2 linked regions of the Caenorhabditis elegans genome follow. The protein of the gene in region 2 interacts with the protein of the main gene of each other region in a pairwise test. Each region holds a gene or a part of one and is shown on either strand. Other genes may lie near its edges. The genes, in order: M05D6.2 and ufd-1.

Region 1 (4,525 bases), on a different chromosome or scaffold from region 2:
AATATCAGAATCGACAACTACAACTACAGTAACCAAGATAACTACAGCTGCTCCAAAACCAATTAATTGTTATGATATCTCGAAAAGATGCTCCAAAGTGAAGCCATTGTGCACGCGAAACGAGTATAAGACTGTAAGTTTTAAACACAAAATATGAAAATTAAAGCAAATGGTTTTCTTGGGTTTGTAATCCAAATTTATTCAGTAGTAATTGGGGAAGTTGAGCATAATAATATTGGTAAAGAATAAGACTTCACTTTAAATGTACGCGATAGCTTTTTCGATGGGCCTTGCCACGATGTAGGAACTTTTGTAGCAACTAATACCAAACTTCACAGCACTGTTCATAAAACGGAAGAGCTGAATTTATGAAAAATTTTAATAATTTAGAGTGCTCAAGAGGAAAAAATGAGTTTTGAAAAACATGTATTATTATTTCAGATAATGATGCGTCAATGTGCTAAAACATGTGGTTTCTGCCCCCAATTTGTTCGTCTTCCACAAACATCTCGTTGTCGTGACTCGTTTCAGAGGTATAAATCGAAAAATATAGCTATTAGAAAATGCTTTTAAATATGTAGTTGTAGAAATTAATGAACTATTCCATAATTCGACCTTTCCTTTCAAGCTGTCCAAAATGGGCTCGAAATGGCTTCTGTCACTCCACTTATTACACGTTGGACGAGAGGAAGACTTACTGTTTGAAAAGTTGTGGAGGTTGTTGAACAACGAGCACTCACTCACCAATTCATGTAAATAATTGAACATATATATGAAACCAAATAATTAATGCTGACATATATAAATGATAACCATCAGAAGCATGAGATTATGTCACAAAGCATATTGAAGATCGGAATTTGGAACTTTACAGTAATAACAAGTGGCAAATATTTCAGATTTTTTGTTCTGTGAATTAGGCAGATGTGCTAGGACCAGGCATAGAAGAGGGACTATCAGCACGATAGATTGCATGCGTCGAAGGAGTATGTCCTTGAAACTCCTGGATGAGGTTGGAATACATCGCGTAAAATGTCTTCCGGTTGTGGACACAGAGACGAAGGAATCTGTAAAATTTGCATAATTTCACAAACAACTTTCTCATTCTTCAATTAGCTTACTTCGATGTGAAAGCACACAATTCAGATTGAATCACAGAAAGACCTGGAAGTAGGCGATGTGGAACAGAAGTTGGACTTCGGAGCATTTCTTCAACAAATGTGGAAACTCTGGTATGAACCAGCTTTCTGATAGGATTATCTGAGCTGATCAGTGCGTTGATTTGGTTTCGAATAGATGTTGAGCTTTCAGTATTCCATTCGATATTCAGCTTCTTCGACGTGTCGACTGCCTCTTTCACACATTGCTCACCGATTTTCTCGAGATCGGATTTTATTCGTCTGAAATAATATTTTATTGTATATGGTCTTTGAATAAAAATCAAAGCGACTCACTCTTCGTCTGTATTATTTGTGATTACAATCAAATGATCTTTTAATGTTTTCTTGAAATCTGCACTTTCAGAAATTTGTTTCCCTGCTACATTGCATGTGACGAATACAGATGATGCACACATAACAATTTGCAAAAACTTTTCCGCAAGCAATTCAATCTTGATTTTGTCGATTTTCAAAGTTTCCGGAAATCCATCATATTCATTGACTTGAATTAACTTAGTATAACCTCGACTTGTAGTATCAATTAAGACTGTATCTGTATCTTCATTTTTTCTCTCTTTTTTCACTGATGTCTCCTCTCCTTCAGCATCTAATTTTTTCTCAAACAACTCGTCATATGCAGCTTTCAGCCACTGTCTGGCAAAATAACATCCGTTCGGATTCTCAATCAGAAATTTCTGAAACATGTCATATTCGTGTTTTGATGAGTATTCCTCGATGGCCGCACGGTTCTGTGATATTTGATAGTTGGTTAAATCATTTTTCATTAGCTCCAGAAGATCCATCGTTCCTCTGAAACAAAATAGAAAATATTTCTCTCCATTTATTTTCTGCTCACTCGAAAATATCAATAACGTCAGTTCTGGTCCTTAATTCGGCAACTTTCACATCTCGGGCTGGAGAGCACAGTCTTGAGCATAAGTCAACAATATATTTCATCACTTTCTTGATATCAAGCTGGCCTTGGTCTAACTTGCCACGTAGAGCAGCTGAAAAAATTTAAACTTAAAAAAAAAAAAATAAAAATTGAATTTACTTTCGTCAAGCATCGAGTTGATTTCAGCTTTTAAACGTGTATGTTGGGCAGTTAAAATGTCATCCAGAATCATCTGAAAATTGAAATTTTATTTTAAAAATTCATATAACATCTTACAGTTTTGACTTCCATCAGAAAACTGAAACAGTACTCCAGTTCAGGAGGATCTTTGGCAAGATCCCGGCGTAGCTGATTGTAGTAGGCCTTGTGCATTGATTCTCTGAAAATTTTAATTTATTTAATTGAAATAAATAAGGAGTTTCTCACTGAACACATCGTTGAATTGCATTTGTTGGTTTATCGGGAATTTGAAAATTAGGATCGATTGCAATTTCATGAACCAACTCCATATTTTCTAATTCATTTGTCATTTTCATCAATTCTTCATGACTGACAAACTTTGCTGGTGATCCTCCAGCCACCCATGGTGGAAGCGATGGAGTATTTTTCGATTCTTGAGCTCCAGGAATTGGTACAGGCTGCGGTGAGACATGCCGTTTTCTGCTCTTTTTGTCTTCTGATCCAGAGGGACTATTCGGTCTTTTTTCTTCGTCACTCATTTTTCTGTATTTCACTGAAAATGTTAAAGTATCCAAAATTTTTCGTGGAATACAATTTCCAAATATTCCAGAGATTTAAACCCGGAAATAACATAGAAAAAATGAATTACAGAACTTGGTATTCATTATCACAACATACGAATATATTTCATTCCAGTAAAATCATTGAGAAACGAATGATTGAGCAGCACACAGAAGTTGAAACTTACAGAATAAATATGATTTTTGATTGAAAATTTTGGGAAGAGAAAGAAAATAAATAGTGCTTATTATCAGAGATAGGTTTCACATGAGTTGAAAGTGAAAGTTTTACTTAAATTAACGGAGATAGTTCATTTGGGAGTTTGGTGGAGCCCATGGTGAGGACTGTTGGCGAGCCATAGCGCGAGATGGTGCGAATCCAAGGATTTTTTGGAGATTTTGACGAACGGTCATGGTACAGAGAATATAAAGGAAAATGAACGAACAATCAGTCATGTCTTCGCCAATCTGAAAAAATAAAGTAATAAAAACCGAGTTTACTACATGCTATCAGAGTTTTTTTTCAAACGATGCTTACCAAGTTTCTATGAGAAAGACCCTGGATGAATCCAATTGGATAGAATGGAAGTTTGGCGACAACACGTCCTTCAAAAATCGAGTTGAATGTAGACAAGAGTGCAGTGAACGCGAGTCCAATCGCGAACATTGATTTCATCTTGAACATGCTCATATCTCTGTTAGTTGCCTTTAATCGTTCTTCTTCTCTCTCAAGCTTTCTTTTGATATTTTTATCATTGGTGTCCCCGACTTCTTGCTTCTTCTTCTCTAATTTCTTCGTCTTCTTGTCCATATCAGCTTTCAGTCTTTTGTAGTGATCGGATCTATACACAAGAAGCCATGTGATACCTTCACCGGCAAGGGCAGTTCCGAACGCGATCGCAATAATCAGGAGGCAATCACCCAACATCTTTAATTACAGTTTTTAAATACGAGACACATAGAATTTTTGAGTAGATAAAACCACGGATGAAACCGAGAGACAATGAAATAACCAATATGAAAACTCTTAGTTGAAACATTTTAATTAAAGAAAAACAGCAAGCATGAAATATTTAAAAACCACATTTCAGAGGAAAAATCCATAAATAATCGCAATAACAAAACCAAAAACCGGGAAGTAACAAAAATATGTTTAAAGGAATGGTTCCACATTGATTTCGACAGCTCCACATGGCAATGTGAGCCCGAAGGAGGTGATAACTTCTGGATGGAGAGCTCCTAAAATATTAAATATTAAAAGGATGTCATTTTAAATATGACTTGCCGATATGTCCGAGAACGACTCCCTTTGGACCGATAATCTTGGCACACCGTCCTGGGAAGTAGGTTGAATCTGAAAAAGTAGCATATTTCAATTATAAGGACTCATAAATACAAATCTTACTTTCATCGGCTTCGATGTAGTATCCAGTTCCGTCGCGCGCAGGATTGACATTTAGCATTCTCATAATTCGATCCAAGAATCCTTGAATAATCTCGAAACCAGCAGCTCTATTGTAGTACACTGCAGCAAGTCTTCTCTCATTTCTTGCTCCAACATCTGTATTTGAGTCTTTCACAATAACATCTTGAAGCTCAAACAATTTCAATGGGAGTGGCATGTCTCGGTTGGAAGACAGTGTTTTCAAAAGTCCGGGAAGAAGGGATGTTCGAGCAACTTGGAATTCAAGAGTTTTTGGATTTCCAATATGAACTGCATGAGAAAGTGC
Region 2 (4,293 bases):
CGAGTTGCAGCCGGCGTTCGACAAATACATTGCACCATGCATGGATTCGGCTGATCTCATCGTTCCGCGCGGTGGAGAGAACGACGTCGCCATCGACATGATCGTGCAGAACGTGATGGCACAGCTCGTTGAACGCGGATACGATCGCAATCAGAACAACCGTGATCGTCACGATTTGGTTCGCGACGATCTACCGGATTGTTTGCCGGAAAACCTGTTCATTTTAAAAGAAACTCCACAGGTCAAAGGTCTTGTCACGTTTGTTCGTGATCGAGAAACGAGTAGAGACAATCATATTTTCTATTCTGATCGATTAATGCGTATTCTTATTGAAGAATGCATGAATCATATGCCTTACAAAGATGTTGAGATTGAGATGGCCGGCGGTAGAAAGTGAGTAAATTTGAAACTGAAAAATGGTCACTGCAAGATTTGAAAATTCCTTTTTGAAATCTGAAATCAGCGCCAACCTTTCTGAAATTTCTGAATCTGACTGCAAAAATACGGTACCCGGTCTCGACACGACAAATGTTTGTTAAACAAAAGTGTGCGCCTTGAAATAGTACTGTAGTTTCAATTTCTTATCACTGCGGATTTTTTGTTTTATTTTAAGTTTTGTTTATGGTTTCAATCAAGTTTTTTAATACAGAAATAATTTTTATAGAAAAACTACAAAGAATCAATAAAAATTCTGCAGTAATTTAAAATTACAGTAATCTTTAAAGGCGCTCTTTCAGCAAAAAATCTGTCGAATCGAGACCGGCTACCGTATTTTCGGCTTAAGAATTGCAAAGTTTCAGATCTTGGTTTCGGATATTCGGATATTAATGTTCTATTGTTTCCAATATAAGAATAAACTTTTTCTAAATAAAACTTGAAAACTAAACAATTGAAAACGTCTAAAATAGGCTCAACCATCTAGAAACTTTAATTTTTATTTCAGAACTATTGGCAAACGAAAGGACGCTCAGATTTGTGGTCTTCCAATCATGCGAGCCGGCGAATGTATGGAGACTGCTCTTCGCTCAATCGTCAAGGACTGCGTGATCGGAAAAATTTTGATTCAAACCAACGAGACGACGTTTGATCCAGAACTTCATTATATACGTTTGCCACCACACATAACTCGATACAAAGTTATCATTATGGACGCCACCGTAACTACTGGGAGTGCTGCGATGATGGCAATTCGTGTACTTCTTGATCATGATGTTAAAGAGGAAGACATATTTGTTGCATCTCTGCTTATGGGTCAACAAGGTGCACATGCACTGGCTTATGCCTTCCCGAAGGTTTACAATTTTTTATTTGAATTAAAAATTATTAATTTTCAGGTTAAATTAATCACCACCGCAATGGACCACCAAATGACGGAAAATTGCTATCTGATTCCCGGAATGGGCAATTTTGGTGATCGATATTACGGAACCGGGCTCGAACAAGACATGGACGAGCCATTCGATATGTGATCATCTGTTATCACAAAAATGATCAATTTTCTTCATAATTTATCAAAGTTTCTGTTTTCCTTCCATTTCATCTGATGAATTCCTACTTTCTTGTTCCTTTTCACTAACTTTATTATTATAATTATAATTATTCATAATGTTCTTTCTTTCCCATCATCATATCCATCCTTCTATACATTTTGTTTCCATTTGTTGTTGAAATTTTATATGCTATTTCATTTTTTGTCGTCCTTTTTTTCCGTTCTTCATTTTATTGACTTCTCTTCATGATTTCTGGCATTCAGCTCGATAATTCATTTATACCCTGTTCTTTCTAGTGTTTTTTCGCGTTGTTTGTGACGGTTAAATTCTTCCCTCTACATCTTTGCGCGTTTCCACACAAAAATCTGTACACGACATTCGGTTTTCTCGTTGTTCCATTTCTTTTTTGTTCAACGGAGCGCGTTTGTCGTTGCAGGAATCGGTTTTAATATCATCATCCATTCACGCATTCTCTTTTTCATGTTGTTCATTGTGTTTTTCTTCAATTTTTGTCAAGTTTCCTTCACACGTGCATTTTAGTAATTTCTTTCTATAATAAATTGCAGTTTGTTAAATATTTAAATGATCAATGAGCTCTCTTTTCTTGGTTGGCTCATCCTCTTTGTATTTTTTGAATTATAGTTGAAGAAAACGTTAATAACTTTTCAGAAAACCAAAAATAAAAATGCAAGCGTGGATACAACAAGGACTTCACGGGATGCAGATGGGCGGCCGAGTCGGGAATTATGATCAAACTTTTGTGGTGAGCTTTTAAAATTCATTTCGAAAGATGTTTGCAAACTTTTTTCAACAACAACTTCGCCGAACTACTCGTCATTTCGATCTCATTGTAAATAATAAATTGGATTTCAAAGATTATATTTCAGCGTTAATAAACAATTAAATTTCAGGTATATGGGCCCGTATTCCTTCCCAATGCAACACAGTCAAAAATAAGCGAAATCAATTATGGTGGAAAGATTCTTCTGCCGTCATCTGCTCTCAACTTGCTCATGCAATATAATATTCCGATGCCAATGCTTTTCAAGGTTTGTTTTGTATAGCTTGAAGTAACTAGAAAACCATTAAAATTTACAGCTAACCAATATGGCTGTTCAACGTGTAACTCATTGCGGTGTTCTTGAATTTTCTGCTCCAGAAGGACAAGCCATTCTGCCACTTTGGATGATGCAGCAATTGGGACTTGACGATGGAGATACCATTCGCATTGAGTCTGCAACTCTTCCGAAAGCCACGTTTGCTAAATTGAAGCCGATGTCACTCGAGTTTCTGAATATTACTAATCCAAAGTGAGTTTTCATAAACTCTAATAATTTTTTGAAGTTTTTGAACAAAGTCCTATATTTTTCTATTTTTCAGAGCTGTTCTTGAAGTGGAACTTCGAAAATATGCATGCCTCACCAAAAACGATCGGATCCCAACATCATATGCTGGACAAACTCTCGAATTCCTCGTCGTTGATTTGAAACCGGCCAACTCTGTGTGCATCATTGAATGTGATGTTAATCTCGATTTCGATCCTCCAGAAGGCTACGTTGAACAACCGAGACAGGTGACTCCTGCTGTCACTGCCAAGCCGCCTGCGCCAGATGCATCCGCATTTATTGGAGCTGGACAAAAAGCTGGTGGTAGTGGAGGGACAGGACAAAATGCAACTTCTGTATTCGGAGGAGCTGGGCGTCGTCTCGATGGAAAGAAGAAGCCATCATCTTCAGTATCACTCTCAGATGGAACCGGTGTTAGTACGAGTAATGCAGCTCCAGTGGCGAATGATTTGCCAGCTATTCCACCAGTGGTTGTCAATGAAGACTACAAACCAGGTAATACTTGTTTCATCTGAAATAAACATTTCAAAATAATTGAAAAGTTAAATTTTATGATTTTCAGGTCGTGTTTCATTCCTTCGTTATGATTATAAACGTGTTGATGTTCTCGAAAAAGAGCTCCGAGAGAAAGAAGCCAGCAAGGCAGGACAACCGTCAAATGTCTTCCGTGGAGGCAATCGAACACTGAGAGGAGCCCGTTAATGTCTCGAATCTGGCCAATTGTGCTATGAATAACATCTTTCACTTCACATAACCTTGTAAAAGTTCATCGCCACTTTTTTGTACAGGATAAATTTATTTGAATATATTATTCTTTGATAAGTGTGATTCAGAGATGAAATTGAAGGAGATCTCCGGAGAAAAAAATGAAATAACTAATATTATAGAACTATTCACTTGTTACAAAAATGCCTTGTAAGGTTTAAAAAATTGCAGAACTTGTTTAGATCATAAATTCTGGCTAGCGTCTGTGCTTCCGAAAACACACAAATGGACTTTTTCAATTGAAATTTTTTTGTTGAATCGAAAAATTCAATATTCAAGGAGCTCGGCCATGAAGCTGATGAACCTTCAGCGATGTCAGTGATGGGTGGAGTGGTTTCTTATCCAAACTTCTATGAATGAAAAAACCTGGAGAAAATGCTGTTTTGAAAGCCAACTCTATTTTTTGCAGAAAAAGGTCCAAATAGTCGATAGCTTCACAAAAGATCACTCGAAAATAGTCAAGATTCTGCAGGAAAAAGTCAAGTCTCAATACAAAAATTACATCTACAACACCAAAAAATCATTAAAATAAATACTAATTTATTGATACGGCGAAAGAATCGAATAAAATACAAAAAAAAAGAAAGTAGGATAGCTGAAGCAAATCGAGAGAACGGAGAAACAAATTATACGAGTTGGGATACAAACATAAAATACCATAATTGCCTACAATGGCTGGATGTTGAAGATTG

What was found.
Region 1: the proteins of ufd-1 (region 2) and M05D6.2 interact in a two-hybrid assay, tested with the Caenorhabditis elegans proteins (one large-scale study listed by BioGRID).

Annotation. Positions count from the first base shown.
Region 1 is NC_003280.10:8,466,372-8,470,896, reverse strand, and holds M05D6.2 (T-complex protein 11-like protein 1), read right to left. Parts: upstream 2,789-4,525; 5' UTR 2,775-2,788; coding exon 2,482-2,774; intron 2,435-2,481; coding exon 2,332-2,434; intron 2,288-2,331; coding exon 2,215-2,287; intron 2,168-2,214; coding exon 2,017-2,167; intron 1,971-2,016; coding exon 1,455-1,970; intron 1,401-1,454; coding exon 1,122-1,400; intron 1,068-1,121; coding exon 917-1,067; 3' UTR 735-916; downstream 1-734. Other genes in the region: M05D6.8 (ShKT domain-containing protein), read left to right, coding at 1-133, 442-533, 629-725; F22B5.10 (Calcium load-activated calcium channel homolog), read right to left, coding at 3,093-3,263, 3,334-3,723; fars-3 (Phenylalanine--tRNA ligase beta subunit), read right to left, coding at 3,949-4,034, 4,081-4,149, 4,201-4,525.
Region 2 is NC_003282.8:12,328,757-12,333,049, reverse strand, and holds ufd-1 (Ubiquitin fusion degradation protein 1 homolog), read left to right. Parts: upstream 1-2,159; 5' UTR 2,160-2,175; coding exon 2,176-2,253; intron 2,254-2,274; exon of another isoform or gene 2,275-2,280; coding exon of another isoform or gene 2,281-2,340; intron 2,341-2,401; coding exon 2,402-2,539; intron 2,540-2,588; coding exon 2,589-2,800; intron 2,801-2,870; coding exon 2,871-3,331; intron 3,332-3,398; coding exon 3,399-3,538; 3' UTR 3,539-3,642; downstream 3,643-4,293. Other genes in the region: F19B6.1 (Uridine kinase), read left to right, coding at 11-393, 944-1,292, 1,335-1,469. UniProt on the Caenorhabditis elegans protein: Functions at a post-ubiquitination step in the ubiquitin fusion degradation (UFD) pathway. In association with npl-4.1 and/or npl-4.2 and ATPase cdc-48.1 and/or cdc-48.2, involved in the cytoplasmic elimination of misfolded proteins exported from the ER.